Drosophila melanogaster: one gene and its partner. The protein of the gene in region 1 interacts with the protein of each later gene in a pairwise test. Each region holds a gene or a part of one and is shown on either strand. Other genes may lie near its edges.

Evidence for each region. The genes of interacting proteins can lie anywhere in the genome.
Region 2: the proteins of CG4250 (region 1) and Poxm interact in a two-hybrid assay, tested with the Drosophila melanogaster proteins (one large-scale study listed by BioGRID).

Annotation. Positions count from the first base shown.
Region 1 is NT_033778.4:22,661,802-22,664,976, reverse strand, and holds CG4250 (uncharacterized protein), read right to left. Parts: upstream 1,286-3,175; 5' UTR 1,233-1,285; coding exon 1,064-1,232; intron 989-1,063; coding exon 856-988; intron 803-855; coding exon 700-802; 3' UTR 503-699; downstream 1-502.
Region 2 is NT_033777.3:8,330,769-8,335,463, forward strand, and holds the start of Poxm (Pox meso), read right to left. Parts: upstream 3,025-4,695; 5' UTR 2,357-3,024; coding exon 2,347-2,356; intron 1-2,346.

The DNA of each region.
Region 1 (3,175 bases):
TCCGCTTGCTTGAATAATAACTTACTTATATAAACATGTTAATAAAATTGGACATCGAATTTGCATCATTTCAGGTATTAATCTGGATACTAGTTGCCAACATTTTTTAAATTATATGAAATTAACTAAATATTGTTGCCCATCTTTTTTATTGGTATTATTGCAGAAAAAGTTGTAATCAAATAAACGGATAAGCGATCAAATTACCTTGTTTCTTCCCTATTCCTTTGTTTAGTGTTTAATTCGAAGAGGGGAAATATAAAATCTAGGTATTAAATTACAAACCTTTTTCCACTGTTCATTGACATAAGTTGTTCAATATACATATATATATATATATATATCCAGTTTCAAGAAGAGGCAGCGATTGTTAGATCAACAATGTGAATGAAGTTATATAAAGGGCGTAGGATGCAGAACCTCAGATAAAAATATCTATAATATATTCCCGCCTCAGAAATTTCCGGGATTTATTAATATTATATACGAAAGTGTTAACATTCATATATCGCCAACAATTTGTGTGATTAGAAATTTATTTTGAAAAGTAAACCAATGCGAAAATTACATACATATATTCAATTGATTTGAACCAGAGTTGTATTTCGTGAATATTCGTGCCAAATCTGATCCCATCAATAGGTGTGGAGATACAAAGTGGGATCTATCCCTGTAATATTTGGTGTTGAGATAGCACTTCTAGTTCTTGTAGGTGCCCACGTAGGCTCCACAGCTGGTGCAGGTGTGTTTGGCCGACTGGCAGGAGTCGGTGCAGTACGGAATGCAGCAGCAGCAAATGCCCCTGAAAATGGCCATTAGTCCTGCGGGCAGGTGGAGCAAACGGGCTGCACTTACCCCAGCATGCAGATGAGTAGGGCCAACAGGTGGGTCTTGGTGCTGGGCTCGAACTCCACCTTCGTCTCCCTGCGGACGCCGCAGCTCGGACAAGTGGCAACGGATGGACATTGGCCCAGGACATTGGGTGGAGCTGAAAGAGGCACGATTGGATTTCGTATAATATGCGATATTATATTTTATGTTTGAATTGCACAGAAGAATTGACCATTATTTCCGATTGATTCATAGTTCTCTGTATTCTCACCCTGCAATATCACTCCCTGTCCCTGATGGAGCTGAGGATAGACCTGCTGCGGTGCGCTATCATAACTGGGCGGTGCCTGGAAACCCGGAGCCTGAGGCTGCATATTCTCGTATTGAAAGTTCTTCTCCATTCTAATTATTCCGACCGATGTGTGCTACGCGTTTGAATTGCCGACAGCGACTGAAACCGCAGAGAGCTCCTCCAACATTGCTCGGCGAACTTTCGAGTTGCGGCGCGATGCGAATTCTATATAGCCCTACTATGTCGGATGGCTTGCTAAGCGATTTCCGTTAAATATTATGTGGCTATCAGAATAAGGGCTTTTACATGAGTAAGTGTTCTTTTTTTTTTGCAGGATGAAAAGCTTTAGTAAGAAATTGCTCAGCCATGATGAATTAATTAATATCAAAACTTACCAATAAAACAGAAATGTTAGCACTTAGTAGGGTATTCCATTGTCAGGTAAACAAACCAGTAGCTTTTACCCTTCCGAAATGGTCCTTCCAGCTATGCTATTAGCACGTATATAACAACAATTTGCATATTTATTGAAAACATAAGAAATACTCAACTCTGCTCAAGAATTGCGTTGTCTCTAAAACAAATCAACCCCCAGGTAAAATCCACTCGTTTCTTCCTTGAACCCTTTTATTGGTGTGCTGAAGAATACATATGCCGGCACTACAATGATTTGTTTTGTTATCAAAATAGTGCGTAGTAATAAATGTGAGAGAGTTAAAAATAGATCAAGTGGGGATAAGTAATGGGGGCTGCATTTCGGCACGGCTGCTGGCTGCAGTCCACGACAAAAAAAAAAAAACAACTTCCGGCGGAAGTTGCTCAGCGCTCGTAGGTGCCAATGTAGGCGTTGCAAGATGGACAGTGGTGGTCGGAGTTCCGGGCGCATTGAGTGCAGTACAGGCAGCAAGCAGGGCCAAAGGCTGCACGAAAGAGATCACTCAATGAGAATGCACCCAGAATGTTAAGAAATCAATATCGAACATGGCTTACAAGGTAAGGCACATAATCAATGCTATCAGGTGAGTCTTGGTGGTGGCTTTCGGCTCCACACGAGTGGTAACCTGTTGACGGCAACTGGGGCAGACCACGATGCACGGTTCCGGGCCAACGGAAGTGGACATTTCGATGGCGGAGCTGCAGAAAGAAAGCACAGGAAACTCTAATAACTCTCATATTGATTGCAGCGCAGACCTTGAAAACTTGAATACGTCGCGTGCCGCTGGTGCATGAGCATTAAATTGGCTGGTTAATGGGGATTTTAATTGCACACCCGCCATGCAAAACAAGCTGTAATCCGCCTTATCTCCCGTCGATGGCACCACGGTGCTGCGCAATCCCTCCTGCCGCCGTGAGGTCATCCTCGTGGGCCACGGAATCTCTTGTGCCATGTGGCAAGCTTCGTGCCGACGCCGTCATCGCACAACCGCGTGTGTCTGAGCCCCGCTCAACCCCGATTCCATCCATCATCTTTGCTCGTCGTTTGGTGCAACTTGCTTGCTCGGTCTGGTCCTATCCAAAATCAACACAATCTATTTATGTATGTTCTCACTAGCGCAAACCACCCAGCACAGTATCCTTATTTAACAGCGGGTGTGTCCGTCGCCAGTGATTAACATTCCCCCCGAAATCCTACTGTCGTCCTGTATGTCTTTGCTGAGTTCTCCCCCAAGCAAAAGTAAATTTTTTGGGGAGCGGCAAAGCAGCGGTAAACATCTAAACAACCAGATATTACCCAATTAGACCTGACTATAATAGTCCGTTGCTCATGTTTGACCCAATCCTAGGCTTGCATAATATATCTCTCCCGTCATACTTACAATCTGTATGGGTGGGTACGTTGTCAAAATAAATAAAGTAGAATTCCGATTTCACAGAGAGACAAAAAGTTAATGCGCACTGTTTGGGCTGCGAAAGTGTTGTGCGGTCAGAAGTTTAGGGCGCGAAGCGGGACACTACACTTCCAAAAGTATTTCCGTTAGCAACATTATGTTGCCTAACTGGGAAGTGATATTTATATACATCCTTAAAATTGATTACAGCGTATCCCTAGGC
Region 2 (4,695 bases), on another chromosome or scaffold:
AACCCTTTAATTTCCTTTAGCTACATAATTTCATATCATTTTATTGTATGAAATGAACTTCTAGAGCTAGCTGGAAAATAGCCAGTTTCACAGCTCTGATCCTAGGACTCCAAATTCGAGACTGAGAAATGGAGTTTGGAATGATTGTGGCAGTTCCGGTTTTGGGTCGCCATCGCCCCCATGGGACTTGACACAGGCCATCTCAAGGGGTTAGAGTCTAGGGGTTAGGGGTTAGAACCAGATGTTAGCCGCCCGCTTATTGATGCGATCGCATTCATTATCCCAGAATGAACTGGCTCAAACACGTGCCCCCTAACGATTAGAAACTCATTAAATATATGGTAATGAGCTGAGTTTGCTTCCAAGAACATGAACTACACTTGTCAGATGTCAGAGGTTGTGGATCCATGGGGAGATGTCCACGCCCAAAGGGAGCAAATGTCAACTGATCTACAGTGAGAAACCTAGCATATTACAACAAAAAGTAGAACATACTATTCAAAGGATAAAATGCAAAGGGTTTTGGAGGTTTTAATTATACTCAAAGCCTATTTAGTGCAACTTTTTTAAGCTCGCCGAGCAATGCCCAAAATGACTGCAAATGCGCTTAATGAATGTTCCGCATCAGCGGTCGGGGATGTGATTTAATTAAAGAACTCAGGGGAAACGACGCCACACAATCAAGCCGAGGCAGTGAAGCGTTTTCCCAAACCCGAACCGCAATCATCGGTATCCACGGGAGGAAGCTACTGGTCGGGCTTTCAGATCAGTCCCCGCCGCATCCTCCCGCAGTCGCTGCTCCTGGGCACCTACTCCCATACCATATAGACTCTTCCATTAAGGCATGTACACATTGACGCGACGTTTTCCTCCTCGGATCTCAAGTGTTTGCCTGCCTTTCGTGGCCATCGTCTGCGCCTTTTGTTTTACTGCCCCTTCTGTGATTTTAACATCTTGCACTTGCGGCCCGCGTCTGGTGGGCTTTTCATGTTTAGCTACCGAAGTAGATGGCTACCGGTGGCCGTTAGTCACGCATTTCTGCACCTCTGGTCCAGAGTCTGGGTTTTGGTTTGGGTTCGGGCATGAGCATGGGTCTGCATCGGCGTCTATATCTTTTTCGACGTCTCCTAGTGAGCAAACAATGCTGGCGTACAAACAGAATGTCAAAACATCGAAAGCATGTCATTAATGGACCAAAAGTGCGGGACCTCCTAGCCGACTTATAACTTCTTTTCAGCTCGGACAAGTGGAAAAATATATATTCGTGTATGTCCTTTTGATACTTTGCCATAAAGAGGCTCAAGCAAACAAATAAATACTTGAAACTAAGTGGGGAATACCATTATAAAAGATTACCCATAGTCAGTCACACTTGTATGTCACTCATAGAAATTGAAAACTATTGGCAAATTATTTCAAAAGATGATCTAAGCAATTCGAAATTTGTAAAAGTAAATCGACGCATGCCAAATTATTCGATTGCGCACATGTTTGTCAACAACTGAGAGAACTGATCAAATCTTTACACACTTGTGTAGCGTAGTTTTCGGCCATAAGGCCATGTCTTGCACTCGCATTTTGCTTTTGGCCCAAAGCACATGGACAAACAGAGACACGGACACTTGGAGCCAAAAGTGAAGACCGCACGACAAAGGCAGAAACATTACAACGATCATTAGTTAAATTAGGAGCCTTGGCTCCGGAGTTTGGGATTGGGATTGGGGTTATGGGTTTTGGATTTTCGGTTTAGGGTTTTGGGTTTTGGAATCGGGTACGTGTGCGGACGTCGGCGACATCATCGAAAGTCAAACAAGTGCCGCGGCTACCGCGAGGCTGTCGATCATGCGCCAAGCGACGGCAGCCTTTTGAAACGAAAATCAAAAGCAAACATCTGCCTCTTGATGTTGCCCAAAAAAAAAAAAAAAAAAAAAAAGAAGTTGGTCCAGCGAGCGATTGTGTTTATCCCAAGCAGTTAGGGGATCCGGATAAGGACTTGGCTGGAGGATCGGACAAGAGGGCTTTATTGGCAAAACACTCGAGTGGCGGGCTTAAGTTAAGAGATTTAAGTGAAAATATAGTGCTACTTTTGAATTTGTCTTTTCGTTACCTTATATTTTAAGATAGAGAGGGAAATGTGATTTCAAAAGTCTTATCAATATTTCCTGCAATATACATATTCTTGTTTTTCTGATTATATTAACCCAAATCTATCAATAAAATAGCTACTACGCTTTTTAAAGAAACCCAATGCCGTCGGCACCTCAAAAATGCCGATAGATCTAAAAATTTTAATTTGGAAATGAATTCTGAGGCCTATATCTTTGTGAGTCATGGATTGAGACATACCTGGGTCCATTTCGGCCGATGGCAATTGATTGAAGAACTCCAGAATTGCAATTGTGGGCACCCAAATCTGCCTTTCGCCAACTCCGCCGTGGAACTTTCTCCGATTGGATTCGCCGGAATAGTTGGACTCTGCTTTGCTGGGGATTGTCGGTGGTTACCTAGTCGTTAACTTTTCGCACTTGGCTATAATGTGAGTTTCAATTAAGGCATGAAATTTGTATACAAATTGGCGCCAGTTGTGCGGGACAGCATCGGGCTGCGATGCCTACTATGCCGTGAACCAAGACTGAGATCTGATTAGCACATTTTCGGGCCAAAACGATCGCTCTCGAGTAGGTTGGCTCGAAAATTATCACGCACTTATCACACCTTATTGGGGAAGCGGGAACTACACACACTTAATGACACTACAATGGGTTTGTTATGCTTTGATTTTGGGAATTATGTCGGTTTACTTTGGACTTGACTGGCGGACCTCCCGTGCGATTGATGGTTTGCAAATGAACCGATTTAAACAGCATTCACTGATCCGTGCGCGCGCCTTTAAATCTTTCGATGGCCTTTTTGCTCTAGCGTATCGGGTCGTAGCGTATCGGTTGGGAACGGTTTGGATCGGGAAAACCTGGCGCGCTCTCCAAAAACGATCGTTGCTGCTCGTCACCCGTGTCTGCTGCGACTAACGCTGCCCGCGGCGCTGCCGATCAAGATCGCCCACAATCCACGTCCACGCACACATTGAATATCACCACCACAGCCACAGTCACATCCACATCTACAGGCTCAAGTGGAAGTGGAAGCCACCGCGTCGACGCAGCATCCCAAGATCTCGCTCTCTCTTTTTCTCACTCTCCGCATTCTCCTCCGCAAGCACACACACACTCATCCGTGAGAGGAAGGGGCGGTCGGTCGAGCGTATATGTGGGTTTTAATGGCGATGATCGCGCACTGGTGTGCGTTTGTTGGTGGACCGCGGGCAAATAATAAAAATGAAGAATGTCTTTCAGCGATCAGGAGCGCAGGCAGCGAATTGAGGGTAAGCCCAGAAGAGTTAAGGCGCCAGTAACTTTGGTATCGAAATATCTTGTAAGTGTTTAAAGTAAAGGGTTCATATAAATTAAATATTTTAATAAAGAGATCGAATTCAGAAGTTTAGAAGAAGGTTTTTAAGACTTTATTACATCAAGTTATACACAATAATCTATACAATTTTTTTATTATTTATCATAACATATTTCCGTTTTCTTGCTGATGGATAATAAACTAAGCTAACAACCCATCTCTCCTTTTTTCCCCAGTTACCGCTCCTGTAGTCGCTCAACTTTGTGTTTGTGTGCCAACGGATGTGTGGGTGTATCCATGGATCGGAATTCGTACTCTCGCTCTCTCTCCGCTGCAATACCTACACAGACGAACCGAACCGAGTGAGTGAGCATACGCAACCGGGCGGAGTTAATTTCTGAATGCTTGAATGGCCAATCTGAAGCAAGTAAGCGTATCCGTAGCGTTACGCAGGGTGGGCGAGCGATGTCATGACTTCTTAGTGTCACACAGATGAGGAGCAGACGAAAAAGGAGCCGAGGGAGAAGGATAGAAGGAGAGAAACGGAAGGAAAAGGAAAGGGGCGGGGCTGTGGGAATTCTCGGAGCGCGTGCATCTATTTTTGGTTCATTAAGAAAGCCATATCGCTAATAAAGCGGCACAGACAGCTAACCCCGTAGATCCCCAGGGATCCACCTCCCGGCCAATGCGGCGTATGCGTGATGCCAACTCTCGCTGAGGCGTTGCGTCTTGCTTGGTTAGAGTTAATTATAAGAAATGCCGTCTTCATCTGATTGTCACTAATTCTGAATACCGCCATTTAATGATAGATGCCAATTGTCGTTGTCATTCCCTCATTAAAATGGTCAAATCGCCGCTCTTGCTATTCTTAATGTTGTGCTCGCTCTCTTCGCTGGCTGTTTAGCATGGCTGTGTGTGCACTTAGTGCGCGTGTGTGTGTGTTTTGGCCCACACACACTGTTGCGCGTTGGACACACCTCCTTGAGTTGGCTTACGCTTACCTGCTCATACCTTTTGTTGCGAATCCAATTGGCCCTCTCCCTGTCACTTTCTGATTTCTGCTCATTGCCGACTGCATTTCCCTGCATTTTGTGGTTTGACGAACGCCATTTCCGACATTGCCTTTGTTTTAAAACAAATAATTCTTATAGTTACAATGTACTTTAAAAAATTTAAACTAAACTCTCCTAATACAATTCATTATTGTTAAATTACTTGTCTTTTTAATTTTTTATAATTTTTATATAAATTTTAAAAACATTTAAAATGTATCTATTACATTGGCATTTT